Linked DNA regions of Styela clava. The main gene of each other region encodes a partner of the protein of the gene in region 2 in a complex. Links are inferred from orthologs where the notes say so. Each region holds a gene or a part of one and is shown on either strand. Other genes may lie near its edges. The genes, in order: uncharacterized protein LOC144411641 and inhibitor of growth protein 5-like.

The links.
Region 1: inhibitor of growth protein 5-like (region 2) and uncharacterized protein LOC144411641 share a complex: the UniProt entries of both Drosophila melanogaster proteins name them as parts of the enok complex. The link is inferred for Styela clava from reciprocal best matches to the Drosophila melanogaster genes Ing5 and Eaf6.

The regions. Positions count from the first base shown.
Region 1 is NC_135251.1:16,249,181-16,261,619, forward strand, and holds uncharacterized protein LOC144411641, read right to left. Parts: upstream 5,881-12,439; 5' UTR 5,763-5,880; intron 4,351-5,762; 5' UTR 4,343-4,350; coding exon 3,791-4,342; 3' UTR 3,753-3,790; downstream 1-3,752. Other genes in the region: E3 ubiquitin-protein ligase rnf146-like, read left to right, coding at 1-256; uncharacterized protein LOC120336316, read right to left, coding at 1,735-2,053, 2,319-2,518; NHL repeat-containing protein 2-like, read right to left, coding at 11,299-11,793, 12,225-12,407. UniProt on the Drosophila melanogaster protein: Component of the Enok complex which has a histone H3 acetyltransferase activity. Might be involved in transcriptional activation of selected genes.
Region 2 is NC_135251.1:10,583,396-10,595,250, reverse strand, and holds inhibitor of growth protein 5-like, read right to left. Parts: upstream 2,404-11,855; 5' UTR 2,361-2,403; coding exon 1,614-2,360; 3' UTR 812-1,613; downstream 1-811. Other genes in the region: RNA-binding protein 8A-like, read right to left, coding at 275-763; uncharacterized protein LOC120336283, read right to left, coding at 8,561-8,729, 9,226-9,379, 10,161-10,319, 10,777-11,022. UniProt on the Drosophila melanogaster protein: Component of the Enok complex which has a histone H3 acetyltransferase activity.

The DNA.
Region 1 (12,439 bases), about 5.7 Mb from region 2:
TGGAGCCATTTATGTCATAGACTTAGAGGAAATGGTACAGTATCGACGAGATATGAACTCCAGGAAAAGAAAAATCAAAAGAGATATAGTGGATGCCCAGAAAAAGGGTGTAGCCGGTATGACTGGGTCCACCTCATCTACAGACACATCTACAAGTGCATCAACTTTGGGTGCTAGTGACTCCCAGTTGAGACAAGGTCCAATAGGCGATGGAAATGATCCTGTTGTTGGATCCCAAACAGGAGGGTGTAACTGACTCCCAAATACACATTATTAGACTTCAAAGTGCTTAGCCTACCGAAATAGATATCTGCGCATCAAATATATTATTTCCATGTAAAAACATATGCACTTGTTCAAATCAGAATAGCTGTATTATTGAACTTGCAAATCACGGGTACAATGTGTACAGATTTATTTTTGCCTCTCATAGTTTATAGTTCACTAATTACTTGTTCAGTTAAGTTATCAATTCCTCTAACACAAAATATATTTAGACACAGTCTCCAACACAATGATGTAAATATTTAAAACCAAACAGCCCAACATTCCATAGCTAGCTGCTTCTGCAGTAAAATACATTAGATAATGGAACCGCCTGAAAACTAATTCTTCAAGCGCATCACCTGCTCTAACAAGTAGAATACTGATTTCTGTATTATAGAGAAAATGCTATATTTAATATCATCTGCTGTATTCTGATTGGCAGATGTGAATAAATTTTCAAATGTATCCTAAGACTCGGTGGTTAGAAATAATATGCTCTTTGTTGCAGTATTGTTTAGCTTGACCAGCCACCCCCTTTTAAAATTTTCAAAGAACGAAATAGTGTCTATAGCAGGGGTGGGCAACTTCTCTAGTCGGGGGGCCAGATCAGATGTGGGAAAATGAAGTCCCCGGCGGGCCAGATTATTACAAAAAATACCTATCTTTGTTAAATGCTCGACACTCTGTCAACTTCACGTTTCTTGGAATATTTCATGGTTAATAAAACTTAATATAAAATCTAATTATAAATATACCTGATAACAGAAGTAGGAATGTATGCGACGCGCACGCGCTCTGCTTTGAACTTATATTGTTAGTTTGAAAAGTGTGCTAACGCAATTGTTTATTTCCCCAGCTCGCACTAACAGTGCGGTGACAGTAGAGCGATCGGCAACTTTCAGGAATGATGCGTCGGACCACATTAGAGAGTGTGGTTGGATATAGTCAGCAGGCCGGTCAGAATCTCGTCGCGGGCTGTATGTTGCCCACCCCTGGTCTATAGAATGCACTTTCACATAACCAGTTTCGTCAAAATCAGGGATTCATTTTTATCGATATGACGCTCCCGGAATTTGCATTGCCAACATTATGATGAGTTGTACCAGGCAATGCCGCCTGTCTAGCCACTAGCTAAATAATGTAATATGATTAATCGACATTTTTCCAACCGTGATATCTTTAAGAGGAAGTCAGTGTCGCAAGATGTGAATCAAAACCAGATATAACCAGGCAGTTTACCCAGATTAGAAGACTTTAAAAATGGGTAGTGCAACTTCTTGCGGATGCCATTCCACGACAATTCAGATTTGAGCCCCCCCCCCCCCGTTTTGAAAACGCTGGTTGCACCGTTGCCTGACAACAACAACCATCGACAAGGAATTTAAAAATACAATTCTGGGTCGATAAGTGGTTGACTGGAGTATCCCCCCAACATTCATTCAATGAAGTAAATTTCAAACAAGAGATCTATTTGAAATGATCTAATAAAACATTTAAAAATCTTGCTGCTGAATGATGAGGATGTTTATGCTTCTGAGAATTCCATGAAAACCTGGACAACAAGTTATTCCATATCATGTTAAAGGTGTATCGCAACTCATCCATTGTCTCAGAGAGTTGAACTTCTATTGAACAACCATGTTTGAACTTTATCATGGACATCAACATCAAGCTTTGTGCCACACAGATAGTCATGTGTGTCAAATTGTATTTGTGATAATGTCGCTTATTTTGTAATAACACCATGGCTAAGCTTGCACCTGGAGATCCTCCAGCTAAACTGAAACTAAAAAAATCAGAATGAGCATAGCGAAAATTTTTTGATAAAAACACCCAGATGGAGCCAAAGCTAGCAGGAATTCTAGTGCTTCCAGCTCCTATTCCTCTAATTATTAATTCCCATTTATATTTCATAAAAATGATAAACTTCAAGCCAAATTTGTATGAAGTATAAAATCCATAGTCACACTGCTGATGTAGTGCGCTACGAAAATAAAGCAAAAGGTTTATGAGGATATCCTATCAAAATATAAGAATGTGTTTTTAATTACCCATGTAAAATTGGCTCCGGTATATTTGCTGGATTTTCATAAGTCAAGCTAGATATAGTAGCATCAATAGTGTGAACAAAAAAAGTAAGTCCGTTAATTGAAACAAAATAATTGAAAGCTAAATCATCATCCAAGTCTTCCAGCAAAATTAATACAGATCTTGCAACACTCCAACCAAACAGCAAACATAATTTGTCCATGGTATGACAGTTTATATCCCGAACTTATTTGACAGCAGGTGCTGGAAGAGATTCAAAAGTCAGGTCTTCAAATGATCCTGTCAATAAAACGCCTGCGCCAAAAAGTGCGATGTTGATAAGGAATTTCCTGCAATATCAAAACAAAGTAGTTTTTCAATATAAGATCTTATTAACTTTCAAATTAACGAATGCATCTATGTTGACTCATTTTTCATTAAAAGAATTTTATGTTTATAGAATTTTCTTGCAAGATGGTCCAAAGTAGCGCTATAATCAAATTTCGCAGCTATGTTGAAGATTTTTTTGGGTGACCCATCAGCCTTTTCCATGAACAAGGACACTAAAATGTAAGAAACTATGATAGTTTGGAAGGACTGTAATCTACCTACTTGGTTCGGCATTGCCTACCGAATTTATTACAACCTGGCAGAGATAGAAAATTCACACAAACACATAGCTTACCTCTTCGATGAATTTGTAAACCACTCTTTCACAATGTTCATGTATGATTTCTTTGATTTATCTGTAGGAGTCATTTTCAAGAACTGAGCATTAAGCTAGACTCAATCTAATAATGTTAGTCACTATATAAATCAAAAACATCGAATATCGATAATGAAACACAGGCACAATTGATAATATGAAAAGGACAAAATTTATAAAAATATGCAGCATCAACCGGATTCTTCAATTCAGATTGATTTCTTACCAACAATTGTACAGTTTGTTATATTGTTAATAGTAAATCCACGTCTCACAGTCACACACACCAAAGGTATGTTGATAAGGTTATTGTAGTACTACCGGTACATCTGAGTGGCTTTTACAGAGTTTCAGAAATACCAGGGATGGCCATATTCTAAAATTAACAATTAAAAAAAATATGGCAAATATACATTTGCAGACTGAAATTTTAATAAGAGCAAAAAGCAATGAATGTGTTTTCTACTTCTATCAGGATAAATTCAATGTAAAATCTGGTATAGTTAAATAGATGGATGCAAAGTCTTTCTGGACTCATCGATAGAGTTCATGCATCCATACATTGGCTGAGTAGGTTTTCCTCCAACATCCAAGGAAAGATTGATTGGTTGACCCCTGACTGACATGGTGACTGGACAAGATAGAGAGAGTTCCTCCCATATGATTAATCACGAAAAATCCTAAATTTTAAATAGTTTTGGCTGGTCGTATTTTCAAACTTTTCACAGTCAACAATAAATTCAGGAAATTAAGTCAAATTTATGAACCACAGCAGGCAGCAAAATAATATCAGCTCTCCCCAGAGCGTGATTTTTTACCATATTTGTCGACCTTGTTCTGCCGAATCTTACGCTTTTTATCTTTGCTTGCAGATGCAGAGTCTTGGGTACTGACAGAACTATATCCATCTTCCGAGTTATTTTTATTTTTAACACTCGATGTGGAAATTTTGCCATTTGAATCTGAACGTTTTAACAGTTTGTTTCCTCCATTTTCTCTAGATTGTTTTTCTTTGCTTGAACTAGAGTCTCCATCTTTTCGAGAATCCACTCCACTTACAGCCGCCGCAGATGTGATTGAAGATTTACTAAAAAGTCTTTCAGCTTCTTTAAATTTTCTGTTTCTACGATCTGATTTGCTATTAGTGTTTTTATTATTTGTCAAATATCTGTCCCATCCTCTAATGATGTTTCCATAGAGTTGAGTATCTTCCAAATAGCTTCCTTCAAAAGCGTAAATTTGGCGCTCAAGATTTGCTAAAGTTTCAGTTATTTCTTCTTTTCGCTTTACTAACTCTGATAGTTCTGCTCTGGTGTTGGATCCTTGGTTTTTATTAGACATATTGAAAACTGAAACAGAAGACATATGACTGTATGACATATTAACTACCATATGAAAATCTTGTTCTTTGGTTTGCAGGTTTAACCCAAGCTAAAATGAAAATCATTCAGAAATGAAATATCAAATAATTAAAAGTGCAAATGATTAGCCTGCTCCAAATTTTCAGATTTTTGAATCAATTATTGAATTAGAAAGACTAAGCACCTAGATTTAGGTTATATTGAAGCAAAAGCTATAATGGCCAAAGAAAATTGGGTGTTATATTGGTATGGGATTTCAACATATATTATACAGCAAATATTGTTATTTGCTCATGCTTATTGTATTATGTACTTGTATCGGAAATAAATCATTATCTATCTATCAACATTTATGTGATCTCAGTGCAGCAGTGATTCTAGTTAGGGTTAAGAGCTGAAATATATGAGAATGTCTGAATGAAGCACCACTTTGGTATACAATTGAGATCACACTGAACAAGTGAGGTCGCATACCAAAGTGGCAACCCATTATGCATTATGATTTTTTATAACTTTGTCATATATGTGCCTATGTTTGCCCATTTTGATATCATTCGTATTTAAACTATTACTTCGCCAAAAATAAATTACACTTTTATAATACCTAAATACTCATGGACTAAATATATGCGATACACTATTATTCAATGATAGACCTAAAAAAAAACAGAATTATTGCCCTATATTCTGATACCGTATTATATTTCAAGTAATGAATAAAATTGGTAGGTTGGGTTGAGTCGAGTCAAACTGAAAATACATAGACTATCATAAGCTTCTACGATTGAGGTTTTCCCCTACCCTTGACCCAGTGGCCCCAAAAATATTCTCCCTAATTTTTTGACGCTGAATTGGATTTTTTTTGAAGAGTTTGCACTTATAAATAAACTTGTTATACTGTTAGACTGGCCTATATGTTCAAAAGCATTATTTTTGTTAAAAACAATTAACCACGTGCCGCTCACAGATACCGGTATCTAATTTTAGCCTAGCCCTGTCAGCCTGTACGTACCGGTGCCGGTACGGTAGACCATCGCAGCTTTTTCGAGACTAATTTTTGATTATTGCAACTAAACTAAAGCTCTGTGGAAAGCATAACGACTTTTATACGGTACTATTTGATTTACAACTAATTTTTGGAAACACAACTGAAAACTAATACGCAAAATCACAAAAAAAGAGGCGCAGTTCTTACCACTTCATGGCAGCTCCTGCCACGAACGAACCGCGGCAGCTCTTGCCATGGTTTTATAGCGCTATTCAGTAATCAGTATTAACGGTATATTCACAAATTAATGTACCAGATTTTAATTGATCATGTGGAATTATATCTACTTAAACCCTAACCCTAACCCCAAATCAATCAAAACTGTATCCATAAGAAAAACGTTCCAACTTACCCAATATTTGTCACCATAATAGACAGCCCAGTCTTTACGGCCCACCTGCCGCGGTGACGGCAGCTCGACATTGGTTTGTGGCAGCTAAAAAGTCAGTTGCCATGAGTTTGGCCGTAGCGGCCATGGTATGAAAATACCGCCATGGTTTTGCGGCAGCTGCAGATGCCACAGAATACTTGAAACTGCACTTGAAAAAAGAGGCATCGTTTTCACCCACGCTGGAATATCTGTCTGGGCGGCCGCAAAAATTCAATTGATACCATTCTGTTGTAAGGAGTCTTGCATAATTACGGTGAGTGCAAGGTGACTATAACACTTATAGACACTTTGGGTAAGTGCAAGGTGCCCCGCCGCCACAGGATGGCTCGTTTTGCCGAAGATGAAAGCAGATATCTAACAACATAACATATTGAAGAATATCTCCACAAACTTGCTTCGCTGTCTAAGTTTTTTCATTCATCCCGGTTGGTTCATTTGAATGAAGGATTATAGATAGTGAGCCTAAGAAAAATGGTGTTGACAAAGAGACATACAAATTTATGCGCCACTTTAGATGCTGTAAAATAGCTTCTCAAAAAAAAAATGGGGGCCACCGCCCTCCCTGGCCACACCTATGTCTCTCTTTTCCAGAAGAAATTTGAAAATCCTATCCTGCGAGATAAAAAAAATGGAGTCGGCAGAACTACATGCGAAAGATTATACAACAAATTGAGAGGAGTTAAACATATTGATTCCATAGTTTTGGATCTCACAGTGCAACTCTCTACAAAACGTTCATAACTACCCTGAAGAGATGCAAATAAATAGGGTCTTTTTAGGCCGCGAGCCGAGGCAATTTATCTTTCAGTTTCGTAGCGCACATAAGGTAACTACCTGAAAATTATTTTAAAATGTTCCTTAGAAATTTAGTAACAAATATTGCCTTGTTCCCACTTCCAAAAGTTGCACGTTTTACAAAAAAGACGCTTTTACTACAATAAATATGTGTTACCATCTGTCATATTTTCTCTGCTTTCCCGGTATCATGGGCCAATAAACGCAGACTTCTACATGACGTAACAATCAAATTAGTCAGCTGTAGGTGGTTGCACGTTTTACAAAAAAGACGCTTTTACTACAATAAATATGTGTTACCATCTGTCCTATTTTCTCTGCTTTTCCGGTATCATGGGCCAATAAACGCAGACTTCTACATGACGTAACAATCAAATTAGTCAGCTGTAGGTGGATCCCCAGTGGTCGGATGAATATCAGATGTACTACTACTGCTCGCTTTTGCGTTCAGTAACCTTTCCATAGTTTTTTTCAGTTATTATTAGTTTAGTTATTCTAAAGAGGTGTTGAAAACTATAAGTACGGCAAGATATTAAACACTTGTATATCCTTACCATAAATAGCAATTTTAGTTGAGCACTAGCTCATAACACGTTGATAAATTGGTACGGTGCGGTAACTCCAAGAAAGGCTAGACCTAGAATAATAGGTCACAAACAACGATATTTTCTGGCTTACGTGAAATGTTTATGATTAATTTAATGACTCTTCTTGACTATTCAGCAGACTTATACTACTACTATATAGGCCACAGCATATTTGGAAATAGAAATTAATGGCTGTTTCTGTAATGCACAGTTGTGTGAAAGAGAAGAAAATAATCAATTTTACTAATGTCGGTTGGTTTAAATCTAAATTCATAGAGTCGACAAGAACCTGGGAAGCAATGATAAGTTATGCCGGGAAGGAAAGAAAGAAAGTAGCATTGGAAACGATTTAGAGGTGAGAAACCAAGTTGTAGACAGACAGTTGATGTTTTAAAATATAGTCTATAGTCCATACTCATACTGTCATAGGGCATTTCAGACTGTGATATATCATAATTTAGTGGAGATATAGTCTAGTAATGGTATGCAAACACTGCTGGACTGTAGTACATGCAATGAGCATATATACGCTCATTGAGTACATCAGATAAAATGCATTATGTATTCAAGGTATTAGTTAGTATTTAGTGGTATTTTTACACTCATGCTGTTCCAAATATGATTTTCTTCCTCATTTTAGATACTGTACTATAAAAGAAAACGGCAATGTTTCACCAATCCGACCTAACGCAGGCTCTAATCCCTGCTGCTATCAGTGCTATAAAATGGATTAAACAAGAAGTCTTGAAGAGTATAGATATATGAGAATCATAATAGTTGCAAACAGCTTAGATGGGCTATTCATATTGAAATACTTTAGCACTTTTCTGCAATTGAAACTGCCCATCAAACTCATGTTGGAGACTTCATTGAGGTTTTCAATTAATTTTTTCTCAACTATGAAGATCTTTTGAGGTTAATGAGGCATTAATAAATAAAGCTGAGGAATTTGTTTGTTCACTGTAGACCAGGGGTTCCCAAACTTTATTGGACGCGGGCCAAATTTAGAATCGGGAGAATGTTCGCGGGCCGGAAGAGTTTAGCGCCCGAAAGTTCGCGGCGGTTTAGCTGGGGTTCAGTGGATTCACTTCCATTTGACATTTTTTGCAATCTGTTTGTTTGACTCACAATGGCGCTTTATGTCGTATTCCTTCAGAACTGGAATATTTCATTGGCAAGAAAGACAAATCGCTGAAGTTTGATTCTTTGCAATACGAAAATATGAAAGCTACCATTTATCCCGGAAACGTCTATTTGTAAAGTCTAGTTTTGTTTGTTTCTTTGACATCTGTAAGCTTTCTTATATGGCTGATAACTTAATTACTGCTCTTTGTAATCCTACCGTGTTTCCCTGAAAATGAGACCAATCCCGTAAATAAGACCTAGCCTGAATTTTAAGAATGATTATAATATAAGCCTCACCGTAAAATAAGACGTATAGTCAGTAGCACCTAGTCGATAGCAGGAAATCTCCCATACACGTTGTAAATGATTAATTTAACAAGTGTGAAAGAGGAATACGTGCCATTTAAGTAAATGGATATTGGTTTTCATATTTTTTATATTTGAAAATCTTTGTAATTTTTTTTTGACTCATGAAAATAAAAGACACGCCCCGAAAATAAGCCCTAGGTATATTTTTCGAAAGAAAATTGAAATAATCTGTTCTATTTTTGGGGAAACATGGTAATACCGGTACGTATTATTGAGATATCGGCATATTTGAATTGTTACGCGATAAACACATGCTTAAACTGTGGTAATGACATAACAACATCGTTTTACTCAAGTTCGGCGGGCCATTTTAAATTGTTACGCGGGCCGGATTTGGGAACCCCTGCTGTAGACTATGGGGATATGAAGAATGTAAATGATACCAGGGGCCAGGGCATGTCTATTTAACACTGACAAACATAAGGATTCACTGAAGAAGCATGTGGCCCTCAAATCAGTTCTTGAGTTGGCAAACTGCAAGTGTAAGAAAAATAGTCAAAATAATTTATGCAAGTGTGCCAAAATCAACTTAAATTGCACAGATTTTTGTTTTTGTACTGCAAAAATCACAGTACACTTATATAGGAAAAGTCGATTTTCGAGAGTGGATTTCGAAAACAATTCAGAGGAAAGTGAATTAGATATTGCAGTTGATTTATTAAGTAGGGCCTATCATTTTTTTTTCGGACATTTGTTAGTGTCGTAGTTCTGTTTCTAGAAATAATATTGCCTTTGTTCAAATACATAACCACATAAACTGAAAAAAGACTAATTGTTATATTTCTGTTCACTATGTTATGTACATATTGTACATTCATTTAATTTTCTTGACTTTTCCGTTAAATTTCTAAGTGAGAAATAACTGATTTATTTGTGTTTTCGTGCTCACGATGTTAATTTGTGACTTCATTGCTCAAAAATGATTACGTTTGATAGCTTCTATAAAAAGGATGTAGCTTTTTATGCTGTTCTTGTTGTAAACTGCTTGTGGTTATTACATAAAATTTATTCGCTAATGTGAATCAGCGTTGTTGGTGTCGCTGCTTTCGAGGTCACTCGCGACTCCTGTCACACAATTAAAGTATTTTTCGTAATCTACCTATTAAATTATGATTGACTGAGGAAGTCCGATTTTGATAGGAAAAACATTACTGGAATACATTTGTGTTAGTGTGCTGTAGGGCTCTCGAATTGCATAGTTTTTATGTATGTGTTGTAAACTTATGGTTATTGAATTTCCGGGAACCTCTTATATTCAATTTTGCATCAGGATTGTGGAACAAGCTGTAATGAGTTCAGTATGTTCATTTTCACACAAAATTGACGAATTTATTTAGTTACCAGATGTGCGCTACGAAACTCATTTTCTGGGCGTTTTCAAGGCTTCGTCTCACGGCCCATATCGGTGGTAAAGATCTGCAAGTGTTTAATAACTTACTTATACATTTTTTAAACAACGTCTCAGGATAACTCAACTAATAACAAGAGAGCTACGCACAAATATATGGACACGTCAGACCAGAGCGAATCAGTCCTTACCGGTACCTTTGACGCTACCGGTACCCTCAAAAAAGTTCTGAATTTCCAGTAGCAAGAATTTTGCAGAATCAAAACGTACAGCCAGTCATGACACTGACTAAAATCCGTGTTCCCATGGATAAAAAATGATACAGCAAAATTTTAGACGAAATATCAAATTTCATAGAATTCACGCAAAATTTTGAAATAAATAAAAGTAATAGCCTTCTAGCGAAAAAATTAATCTTTAACCACTGAAAATTTCAAAGCAATTGGTCCAGTATTCGAAGAAAAAAGCGACTTTTTAAAAACGTGTCAAAGAACAAGAACAACAACATAATATTGAAACGATCGTTATGTCCACTACGTGTCCAATAACTAAACAGGGCTATGGAAAGGCTGCCCAACTCAACGCAAGGTCGAGCAGTAATAACTAATATTCATCCGCTCGCTAACAGCTGATTCGATTCAATTGTGACGTCATGCAGAAGTCATTGCCGAAAATGTAGAGAATATAGGACAGATCGTAGCACATATTTCTTGCAGTAAAAGCGTCTTTTCCATAAAACGTGCAACTTTTGGAAGTGGCAAAGCAATATTTGTTACTAAATTTTTAAGGAACATTTTAAAATCATTTTCAGGTAATTACCTGATGTGCGCTACGAAACTCACTTTCTAGGCGTTTTTCAGGGCCTCGGCTCGCGGCCTATTTGTAGTATTTGACAATTGTATTCAGCATTTGAAATATAAAAATTTATAATTGAAAAAAAATCATAAATGTGCGAAGTGTCAGTTGACAACTGTTGAAGATTTCTCTCAAGAAAATTATTTTCTGAGCGATCTTTTTATTGGATACTAACATAACAAAGACGGTGTTTTTAAGTTTTATTCAAAAGAAAAGGTAACACTTGAAAAACATGACTATCATTAGGTAAGTTAATGTGCAAGTAATAATAGAATGAATTATCTATCAACCTATAGTTAGTATTGGCAGCTGGCAGGGCAATTTATTTAAACACCACAATGTTAAATGGCAAAAATTTGTTAATAAGTGCATTTAAAGGGGTAAATTGGTACAAAGGGTAATGCCATTTACATGGTATTTACTGAGAAATGGCCAAAGTAACTTCAGTCGACATTGCCTCAGAACTGGAGTCAACCAGCAAAGGCAGTATAGCCTTATAACTGTGCATCTTACAGATGCCAGAGTCATCCTGGCAGTAGTATAAAACACTTTCAATGAAAATGTTAAGCTGAATAGAATTAATGCCTTTCGGCAATGGCTCGAGTTTGCTAACATTAAATGAATAAACACCTTTTCCGGATATGTTAAAGTTTTCAGACTGAAGAAGATAAATTAAGTTAGGACTTTTGTCAAAACTGTAACTTATTTGACACACAGACGGAGCATCTGGATTCAGATGAAAACCAGGGCATGTAACACTGATATTGATCGTTCCGTTGTAATTGACAATTCTCTGATCCAATATAATTGCATTGACTTTTTTACTGGTCAACGGTTTCACTGACATTTTTATTGGTCCATCAAACTCATCAATTGAAAGGTTTTCAAAATACTTTTCAATATTGAAATCAACCTGAATTGTAGGAAAATTCGTATATTGAATTGAAACAAAGCCTTGAGGAAATGCAACAATAAATTTTATAGTAGCAATAACTTTGCTATGATTTCACATAAAAAAAGACTGTGAAAAAGTAGCTATTAAAGTTGAGTACTATGACAGCTATTTTAACAAGATGCATGTATGCAGCTTTACTCATATTTCACTATTACAAAAGGCATATCCTGATAGGCATAAGTTGCCGCTTTCAAAATGCGCTCATATTAGTAGGATAGGAGTCTTTGCATCGCAGCTGGAATTTGCATTGGTTTAGGTGTTATTAGGGCTAAGCAGAGTGTACCAATCTTAGCTAGCCAATACCATACAAATCCTTGAAGTCCTGACAGAACCGGGACCTATTGTTAATTTAAGTGTCAACTAGATTTACTGCTACCATGACAACTTACAGAATTTGTTTCTTCACTGCTCAGTGAAATAACTTTAATTTTGTGATTGTTCGTGTCAGCTATATACAAATTCTCACAAGCTGGATCGCATGCAAGCCCACTTGGCTCATTGAGTATCAAATTTTCCCTTCCATTACCTGCCATGGTTTTACATGTTTTTTCTTTCGGATTGAGAATCTTTATCTGAAAAAAAAAATAGGAATTCGGATCTTAAA
Region 2 (11,855 bases):
GGCAGAGATAGAAAAAATGAAGCAGCACATATTTAGCTCAACTATTTTCAATCCTGGAATTTAGATACTATAACAAAACGTTTTTTCCAAAATCAATTATAACAGATTAAAATATCCTAAATAATGAGCAGAGTTGGGAAAAACGCTCAGTTCAATATTAAACTTGAAAGGACAAGCATGATCATAGTGTAGCCTTTAGTTTGAGTTTATTGAGCAGATTTGTCTTATTACTACACACAGCACCATCGAGCATAGATTTATCGTTTTAATATTTTCAACGACGACGATGCCTACGGTCCCGCCTATCTTTTTGGGACGGTTTAACAAAAGCCCAATCTACTGACATCGTTTGGCCTAGTAAATCACTCCCATTCAATGCATCAAGAGCAGCCTGTGCTTCTTTAAAAGTCTCGAATTCCACGAGGGCATATCCTTTTAAATATCCGGTTCTTCTGTCAAGATTTAGATGTAAATTTTTTAATTCTCCATATTCTCCAAATTTATCGAACATGTCGTCTTCCGTTGCTTCCTCGTGCACGCCAGTAACGAATAAAATCCAGCCTTCAACCGATCGTTGAGGTCCAGGCCCATCTTGATCACTTTCCATTGCTTCATACTTGATTTCAGTTCTTTTTTCAGAATCCCCAATTCCACGACCTTTTCTGCGCTTCGCACGATCTTTCAATCTTTCAATTCCGACATCTCCTTCCTCATCTGCGGCGAATTCCTCTCCGCTTTCATGTAGATCTAGCACATCAGCCATTTCGATTGTTCCTTACACTAAATTATTATCACTTAAATTATGTTATGGCTGAGAAAATATCAAAAACAATGAGACATAAAGATATTATATATGATGAAAATCAACAAATACAATAAAAAATGTTGCAAGGGATAAATGAATTCAATTCAAGTATAAACATATATTTCGAAAACAACTTGGCAGTTTAACGGAAATGATTTTTCACCATCGTCTAGCAAGCACTAAACAAAAGAAATAGCTATTTGCATCTCACTTCTAGACATTTTAAGTTAGCTTTTTCTTTCCAGCATCTTCGGCCTTGCCTTGGGTGAAAATCAACAAATACAATAAAATAATGATGCAGAGAACTTAGATATTCAGCGAAGAACAAAGCAGCTCATTAGAATCAGTGTTCACCAGCACCCACCAAGCGCCAAAAGTGCAATTAACTGTAGCTCTTTACATCTCACGGTTTAAGACACAGTCAACTTGAATACACCTTTTTTATGAATGTGGTGGAGCAGTGGAAGTTGACAAAATAGCAAAATGTGAAATTACGAAGTGGAAACTTGCTCAAGAAAACACAGCTTCGAATCCGGAGCATTTGATTCTCAGAATATCAGGATGAATCATTTTAGTTAATTTATATTTATCATTTCTGAAAATATTGTTGCCTTGATACAAAATATTTTTGACTAGTAATCAAAATCTAAATATTAATACCCACTGGCAGTTATCAGATAATATAGAAAAATAATTACTAACAAACTGCCTATGAAAACTGGCAGTGAGTTTAGTTTTGAACATAAAAACATTTACGTTTGAATATTACCAGTGAGTAATTTTTAAAATTTCTCGGTGAAAATAAAAGCTATCGTTTCTTTTTATCTCTCTCTTCACGACATTTCGGACAAAACCATTTTCCTTTTGGTTTTGATGTTAAATTAACGCAACCAAAATGAAACCACTCGATGGGGCAATCTGGATTATCACATCCAATCATTTCACCATAAGAAACTTGGTGACAAAGACAATACGTTGGTTCATTTGGATCAACAGGCATATCTAGAACATCTGAACTCGAGTACGCAGATATTCCAGAGACGAGAGGTACAGAAGACAATGATTGATCTAGTCCGGATTTATGTTTCTTTTTGCTCGATTTTGATTCGTCCTCGGAGTTCGCGGCTCGTCCTTTCTTGCGACGCTTTTTATCTGAAGGACCGCTGTCTGTATCAGCTTTCGAAGTCCCAGCGACGTTTGAATCATGAATAGATTTCTCTTTCAAATCAGCTTCGAATCTTGCAAGATCCGAGTCTAATTTTCTGATATGTTTGTCAACCATTTCGTACGTTTGCATTGCAAGTTGAACCTTGTCATCAGCAAACTCACGACATTTAGCGTAAGAATTTTGAATTTTTTTGATACTCTCAACTCTGACATCTGGTGGTAGATTTTTTGCTTCTTCTACATAATCCATCGTTAGATTATCAATATCTACTTTTAATTCTTCTGATCTTTCATCAAGCTGACGCATAAGTTGGAAATTTCTTTGCAATTCAGCAGGTAATGTTTCCAGACTGTCAAGATACTGCTCCAGATACATTGCGGTAGCCATCTTTGATACTTTATATATTATTCTAGCTGATAATAAAATAAAATGATAAAGTTGAAAAAAAAAATTTATTGATAGTTATAAAAATACAAAACTACGCATAGAATGCAGATGCATCAGATCGTGCCATGCTCGTCTGTTGTCTCGATATTAAATTAAATCAAACGCAACGTGCCTCGTCAGTCACATGACCAAAATTGCAGTTTTTGCTAAAAACTCGACTTTTTTTTAAGAATCCAACGTTAATGTTTTTAGATTGCGCTTATATTTATTTAGTTTTGTTGCACAGTGCGTGTTTGGAGGCCTAGACTGTCTTGAAAAGAAGGAGTTTGTACTCATTGTTTAAATTGATTTTTAATGTGGAGGCTATTCTTGGAATTAAGGAACTGTGTCGTACTGGTAATTCATCTATAATTCTTCAAATACGAAACTCTGCATGAAAAAAGAGATACCATAATCGAATAATATATGATATTTATTCCGAAATGAAATATATTCTCAATCACTAAATTGAATGACGTTGAACAAATGAATTTATACTCCAGTATTCATCTCCATAAATTTGTGAAAATTGAATCTGGGACGGTGAATCAGTTGCAAAATAATTCAGTGATTGTGATACATCAGTACAGATTGAATTGATTTCCTATTTTTTACAATATTGTAATGTCAGACCATCGACTCTTGTATGCCAGTATGGGTAAATTGGGTCTCGTGTAGTTTCACGTCATAGAGCTTGTCAAATACTCGTACGATCGCCCGAAATGGCATCGGCGCCGACGATAAAGAACTGACTAACGTCAGCGATCTCTCTCCTAACAGTCGTTTGCGCGTCTTGGATGACAGTCCGCATAATTTGAAGGGCTCTATTACGTCACTGTGACGTCGTGGTGACGTAATTTTTGGATGGTGTGGTCAGGTGGCAGTACAGCACACTATCCAAATTTCAAGAATTTCCCTCCATTTGGCTCAATAAAACAAACACTCTATGTGTCTCACAAACGAGGAGCGTCTGGGACCATGTCAGATGCTTCATATCGTGCCATGCTTGTCTCAATAAAAATCTAAATTAATCGTGACCGTCAGATGACCAAAATTACCGTTTTTTGCTAAAAACTCTCGAATGCTACGGTAAAAAATTTTTTCCTTCGGAAAATCGGATTATTTTTTTCCCAGGAATTCAATGATGACGTTACTAAAGTGCGCTTTTTTGTAGTATTTCGCGCAACTTCATTATACTGTAATATTACCGATATTGAGGGACAACAATGTCCAAACGTCTCCCAAAGAAGGGGCGTCTGATCATCTGTAAAATGGGTTTCTCTGAAACGGGACACTGTCACCCGATTTGTATAGCGTGCCGTACTGGGTGGGGGTTAGGATTGACATGTGAAAAAATTGTTATGCTACGCCTGCTAGAAGTACGTTAGGTACGAAACTACACCAGACCCGGTAAATTAACATAAATATTTTAATTATGTTGAACCCAACCATTTGGTTTTTGTGTATCGCAGTATCGATTAGTTTAAACGAATTGGAAATCAAAATACTGAAATGAGTATTTTCCCAAAATAACCCACAATGTCAACCATTGCTGCATTAGTTCTTCTCGACCCCCAGACTTCATACAGTTTATATGCTGATTTCAATTTTACTTTTTTACATTCCATGCATTCGGACAGTTTTATAGAATTGATTCAAAATTTCGCCGAAAGCTTGAAAAACAGAAATAGTCTATGTACGGTACGGTACCGGGCCATACGGGTACGGTATTTGCTATGGCAGTATGGGAGTCAGCATGACAGGCAGAATAACAAAAGTTTTCTAACTAAACATTTCAAATTATTTCAGAATAACTGAATACTGAAATAACGGAACCGGAATTATAAAATGCTGGAATGCGGGTACCGGTGCCGGTACCGTACCTAACTTTAAAATTTTCTGAATTTTGTGACTGAGCTACATAAACTACAATTTTAAAAAATCAAGATACACACCACAGCGTGGAAATGTAAATTCAGTAAACAGACAAAAACCACCTGTCCATCATAATCATACGGAGTATTGAGAATAAAATAAAGAAATAAAAAATTTTCCTTCCCGCCTGCAGGCACAAATAGACGATGAGCAAATTTTAAATCATCACACACGCGGCCTACTTACGCCACCTTGCGACAAATCGTATATTGTATGATTGGTTGAAATTAGTAGTATATATTTACGTATGATTGGTTGAAATTTAAAATTTTTATGGGATTTTCACTCAACAGTTCCAATATTTTTTGGAATTAGAAAAATTTAAAATTGTACGTACATAACTGAATATTTCAAATATACACATATTCATGTCCCTGTCCGTCTGCGGTCTGATGGCTCTTGAAGACAATCTCTAGAAATATATATTACCGTAGGTATTTAATTCGACAAAATTATACGGTGCTCATCGGTAGTTCCGAGAATAAAAATCCAGATCTTTTTAATACGATATTAGAACCTCGGGTGTGGCTGCTCGATTCCCTCGCTTTGAGAGAGAGAATTTATTATTTCGTCAACCAGAAAACACATAATATAAAATATAATAATAACAAAATAAGTGAAACAAAAGTTTTCGGTATGACTGGGAGGTAACGATACGACCAGTTACGGTCATCTGAGTTAGTTACCATCCAATACAACACATGAATAAATACATAAATTGACACAGGTTCTTTTTTATTTAACTCTCAGTTTATAGAGAACTATTTACACTATTTACAAAACGAGGATAAATCTGATTAGAACGAGGATAAATTTTGGATTCATCTAATCAGGGTTGGGAATTTATTGTGAAAAATGACACATTTATAACAGTAACATAATGTGGTTTTTGTTTTAAGTTAATTTAATGGTAGAAAAAGAGGAGTGCGTTTCCGAAATAGATACTTAATTCTAAATGAGCCTATATATGAGAATCAATCAGTACATCATTTTAACACTATGAAAAAATAAAATAAAAAAATACTACTCCAATAATACATAAATAGACATATGCAAATTTAAGCAGATATGATTTATTAAAGACAAATATGAGACAGTTACAATAGTCCAGAAACCATTTCAATTCTTGCAATAATTCATAGTCTATCCCAAACGTAAACTTTGGTGGTAGTAGTATAAAAAAATGGTCAAATCTATCAAGATATCGCATATCGATGAATTTTAATCACACTCACAGTTAATTAAATAATCCATAACAACCGTTTAACAGTAATTGAAAATGTAATTATATTAAGGAGCATCATATGAATTTCAAAAGTCACTTAGCGGAGCAGTTTTGGGTTACTAGGGTGGTATAACACCAGACCTAATGTTGTGCATAGATAGGATAGCAGAAAATGAATGGAAATGTTTGCAGAATGATAAATGATAATACATGAGATATATATAAATCAGTGGATTAATTTGGTAACCCCCAAACGTAAACTTTGGTGGTAGGAGTATCAAAAATTTCCAAATTTATTAATTTATTGCAATATCGATAAATGTTAATCACACTCACAGTTGATTAAATAAACCATAAGAACCACATAAGGGTAATTGAAACAGTAATTATGTAATATCAGCCTAATGTTGTGCATAGGTGGGATATCAGCGACTTCGATTCCTCAGTGAAATTTTATGATAATCTCGCTTTTTTCTGAATGTTATATGCGATTGTTTATTGCTGGTTGGAAAAAAATAAATTTCACTTGACGCACAGACAGAACGGGAGATCATCAAGACTGTTATCATAGCGTGCTTCTTATTTGCAAAGTTTCAAAAGCCCAAAGAGCACTTTTATTAGGATAGAAGTTCATATTTATCCCGAAGAAGAAGAAAGTGGCGAGACTACTTTTTCATTATTCGCATGACAAGCATATTGCTTGGGACGATGCGCCTACCGTCGATAGCTTTGAGTACTTCATACAACTTTTCAGAATTCTTCAGTCATTTTTGCTAATTTTTTTCTGGTTAGGAATTTTCTGGGGTTAATGAGGTTCAAAAAATCATACACGCATATTTGGCCTACTTGCTTCTTATCTTCATTCCTTTCTTCCGGTAACTCAGTCCTAATACCCTGACTTCGGTCAGATGACCTAACTTTTTCGATTTGGTGACACGTTTTCCAAGTAAGCTAGTCTATTTTGCCTATATGACACGAATAAAATTATATGCGTGCCTAGGGTTGCCAACTATGAAAATTCTCAATAAAGAACATAGATTACCATCATCATTTATTTTGTAACTTACAGGAAAGAACAATATAAAACAATGAAATACAAATTATATACAAGCTAAAAAGATATATATACTAAAAAATCTCCATTTGTTTTTCATTTAATGTTTATTTAACATTGACCCTGCATTCAAGCTGCATTCTGTGAACAGTTTAGTGCTTTGAATCGTGTCAAATTTTTTTTTGAATGAGTGCAACTTCATCAAATAGGTCAAACATATTCAAATTAAGTTTGTTTTTTAGCTTCAAATGCTCTACAATTTTTACAAGGGTCTGATATTTTGGAGAAAGATTATCCAAAAGTGATAATTTTCCAAATGTTAAATTTTCATCGGAGTCAAATCTTTTTTCCAAATACGTTATCGCAGAGTTGAGAAATAATCTAAAATCTTAGATACCAATTATACGTAGAATTTTCAGTTATTGAACTAGAATTTACTCAAATCTTGGAGTGTTGCCACTTGCCATCTTCGGAAAATTAATGTAAAATATTTGAAATTGTTAATAAAATTGGTATTTCTTGGCTATTGGCTATTTGTGCCGTACCAAAGCGAAATTAAAAAGAATAATTAAAAGCTTGCAAATACAGAAACGGAGGCGATTAAAGAACGAAACAATATCAAACACAGTACTATAACTATCGGGCAAAACGACGTTGGAAAAAATAAAGGACAATTATCATCTTAAAAAGGACAAGGACAAAAATCTCAAATAAAGGATTGTCCTTTGAAATGAAGGACGGTTGGCACCCTATGCGTGCCTATGAACGATAAAAAAAAATAAAGATAAAGTAAGAAAAAAAGAAGAAAAGAAAGCAAACAAAGATTAGATTAATCCCTAAAACCATGCAATTTCTGAATGAAGTATTCAAAATAGAACAGTTATCGCTCGCACACAACTTGAATTGCCGAACATCTGATATCCGAAGTATTTCTACGGATGACGCCTAATTAGCAACAAGATGAAGATGATAGTATTTTCACAAAACAAAATTAGCACTTTTTTCAGTCAGACTTCGAGAGTTTAAACTTGCTCATCTTTTTGTTGAAGACTACCTGTCACTCTGCTCTGATAAATTAATAGATTCGCTAGCTTCAAATTTCACAGAAACAAGTCGATTGTGATGATGCTACAATTATGACATGTATAGCGCCGGTAACAAATCCAGACCTGCTGGTAAGAAATTATATTTGCCGTTAATCATCGATGAAAAATCAAAATCCAGCTATCACTCACTGTATGAGACTATAATAAAGAAAGTATATATATATATGGAGTTGTACAAATTCAAACATAATTCTACATTGCCCAATAACTGGCCTGCTACAAGCATCAAGCGGTGCTGCTTCAAATTCGATGCACTCGCTGGCATCGACTGTGTCAGGGATTGTGCCGCTTCATATCGAATAATCCCGCCAGATTAGCAACGAAACCTTAATCATCATTCTAATTACACTGCCATTATAATACGGTCTAAATACAAACTTAAAGACTCAGGCAGGCATGCCAACGGAAAATCTACATAATGGAGTGGTCAGAGTGGGCGACGGTTGTAAAATCTCGCACATCGGGGCCAGTGCGTCACGCCACACAACTCAGAAAGAAATAGAAAGAGCGACCAAGAAATAAGACAAGATATATAATAAATCACGCGAGGCATGTAAGTTTTTTAATTGCATGTGCGGTTTTTCGATATATATATATACAATGAAATATTGAGGCTGCTTATAAGAACCACAGGAGATAATTATCCATCGGTTGGACGAGTCTTCCAGTCAACTTACATTAGAAAAGTTTGAAAATATAAATCTGATACAGTCAACGCCACCACTTCCTGCGTATCAGAAATTTGGGGTGAAAGTGTAAACACGTCTCCTGAAAATACTTCAACTGTACGTCCTTGGCGACCCCGATACCGAGTCTTTCAAAACTTTAGGTGTGGAGAGACTTAATAGGATTCGTACAGAACATTTTGAACAAGTTCTGGTGGATTTACTTCTTTCGCTAAATTTTCGTTCAACTTAACCTCAGAATAAACGTTAATTCCATCTTCGGGATTATCTATCTCGCCATTTTGTGCGTCAGATGTCGATGTAACAGACTTTGTCCGAACATACCTAAAAAAATATAGAAAGAGCTTCAAACGAGTAGACATAATTGCAAAGCTATTTAAAAACTCCCATACCACAAATATTGGGCGCGATGGCTGAGCAGTTGAACGTTAAATCGTTAGACCAGGGGTTTGCAACATTTTTTGTCAGTGAGCCATATGACCAACTTCAGTCAACCAGCTGGGCCACACAAAAAGAGAGTGCGACTATCACTTAGCCTTGCAATACTGGAAGCACATGGCAAAATGACGAAAGATTCAATGCAACGGAAAGAGCAAAATAACATTATGTATTTTTAACCATGTGAGAGCCTTTTTCAAGATTAACTGTCGGATTTAAATAAATCCGAGTATTGACAAGGGTCACACAAATATAACAGCTGTGGTGCGTTCATTTAAGCCATTTGCTGAGATCGCCGAACTCTAACGTCGAAAACAGAAATTATTCAATAACGAGTCCGCGGCCAGTGCGAATCCCCTGAATCTCACCACTGGATACATACCTGAAGTATCCAACACAAATCGCTATGCACGAGAGGATAAGAATAATGCTGAGTATGGCAATGGCAATTATGAATGGTAGATACGATCCTGAGATATTTTTTGTATTATCGGATATTGGCTTGTTTTGTGAATTGGTGATTTCTCCTCCGACCGCTGGAAAATAAATCGAAACTTTACTTTAGATTTTTAAACATCAAGCATAGCGAAGTCAAATTTATACGTGAAGGCAGAGCTCATTTAAATGTGCCACGCTTTCATAAACAAATAACTGGTTCAACTAATTCCATATATAGCCGACATGGACTGGTAACCGGACGAGAGGCCGTGGTTCGCTATATCATTAAGTCGTCTTATCGCCTTTTCTTTCTCCCTGGGATGAATATGTAAATCCTATCCCAAGTAATGCGCGTCAAATATGCAGATGGATTTTGCTCGGATTTGTTGATAATTGGCTAATTATAAAATTCGTCATGTTTTTCGAGTAGAAGAGAAAATTCAATTAGACGTGGCTCGAACCTATTGTGCGTTCACTGGTTCAGGTATGCTTTGAAAATAGCAAACAAAGCCAGTTTATCGCTCCAAATTTCGCTGCAATTGTATGAAGCGATTTCGATGACCGTATATGGGTCGCATCGTTACAATCCACTCATATACCGAGAACTGTAATATATGTTGTCGTTTTTTATTATTATTATTTGTATATATCGCCATTACGTTTTCTGGTTGACGAATAAAGGAATTCTCTCTCTCTCATTATCACACAACCATACTCGGGATAAAAACCAGCAAACCCACGCCCACAGATTGAACTTGAACAATTACTGATTGAAAAACGACAAACCTGTTTGCGATATATTGAGCACCGACTTCACAGCAAAATTGAAATGGACAATCTTTACGTTACTATCGCTGGCACAGTAAAAATGAGACTTACCTTTATTGCTTAAGGTAGATGTCAAGACAGGTACTGATGTATTTGCAGTGGGTTTCAAGCTAACGCCAGACTTCGGTAAATACGTGTTCGCTTCGTTCTTTTCTGTTATTGATGTTGCGCTCGTTTCAATTTCTAACGTAGGAGTTGTTGGAACAGGCGCTGATAAAATTAGGAATATAAGATATAGACAATGAACAAATCAATAAATCAATCAATTTTCTTTTGGTCACTCTGAAAGAAACAAAACAACAACGAACGAACAAACAAAATGCAGAGGACCTGGAAAACGGGCATAACTTATTGAAAAAGTTAAAAACGTACAAGTACGTTCCCATCTACACAAAAACAGACAAAAGAACACACTAAAATAAAGACATGATGTAAAATCGGGCAATACCTTTTGAATCAATTTTAAAATGTGAGAAACTGATCAAAAGAAGATCATGGCAATAATTTATACAAACTAGAATTTAAAAAAGTACGAAAAAGTTGTGGCTGCGGTCCTTATGTGGCGATTACAAATCAAATTGATCGTTCAATGAACTTTTATTACTTAACAAACATAAATCACGAATAAATGAACTATGTATGTGAGAAAGTTGATGATGATACTGACTTGTCCTTTTACAGCGAACAAATCTGTAATGCAGGTCGAACCTTTTCTCCATTCCCGCCAAGTCTAAATTCCCGACCAATAATGTGATTTTTTCAGGCAGTTGTTGTACCTTATGCGATCGGAAATGACTACAGTTCATCGAATCTGGTGTTGTATTTTGGCATCTTGCGTTACCAGTCTTCCTGTATACGTGGCATCGTTTGGGTTCATCATTCTCGCATAACGGTGGATTAAATCCTGAATAAACTTCGTTGATATTGATTGTTAGAAATGAGTTCTTGATATATTTTGCTTTGCACATTTATAAATTTTTTTGTGGTGGCATTTGAAATGTATTTATGTAAACCATAGAATAATGTTAATATCATAGAAATGTGGAATGCAAACAAGCGCGATAAAGGTTCGTTACTGCTGCCAATATTTATATTATACTTGTTTCCTTGTATTTGCGCAATTGTATTAGGTCGATCGGTATGGTAAACACAATCAAAAGTATAAATGTTAAATAAATTGTTAGAGAGGCGGTTCACTGTACTGCTTGCCGCTATTTCGCCAGCTGCAGTTTATTTATCTGCTAAACCGAGCTTAACTGCCATGAGTGATTTTTTTTATTATTTCGAAGAAAAATCAGGCAGAGTTGACCTTTTGTCTTTCGTCCTTCGACCTACATATTAACAACCTTCAAAGGGCATAAAAAACACATTAACGATCATCACAAAATTGAGTTTTATTCGAATGCAGCAATTTTTATTTGTGTAAGTGCGCCGTGAATTTTTTCCCTGATGATTTGGCGCCGCACGAACACAAAGTTTGGGACCCGCTGGCTTAGAGTAATTGGGTATGAGCCAGATTTTGATGTAAAAAAAACGTGAGCAGTACTGACACACTGAAGAGAACCTGCAAGTTCAAGATCAGTTTTTGGCCAATTTAGAGTTAAGGTCTTTATATAGAACAGTGGTTCTCCAACCTTTCCACCCGCGCCCCATTTTAGAAATTGTCAAATATCGCGCCCCACCTTACAAATAAAAAGCTAAGAATAAGCTACAAATAACAGATAGTAAGGCGAAAGTATGTTTTAT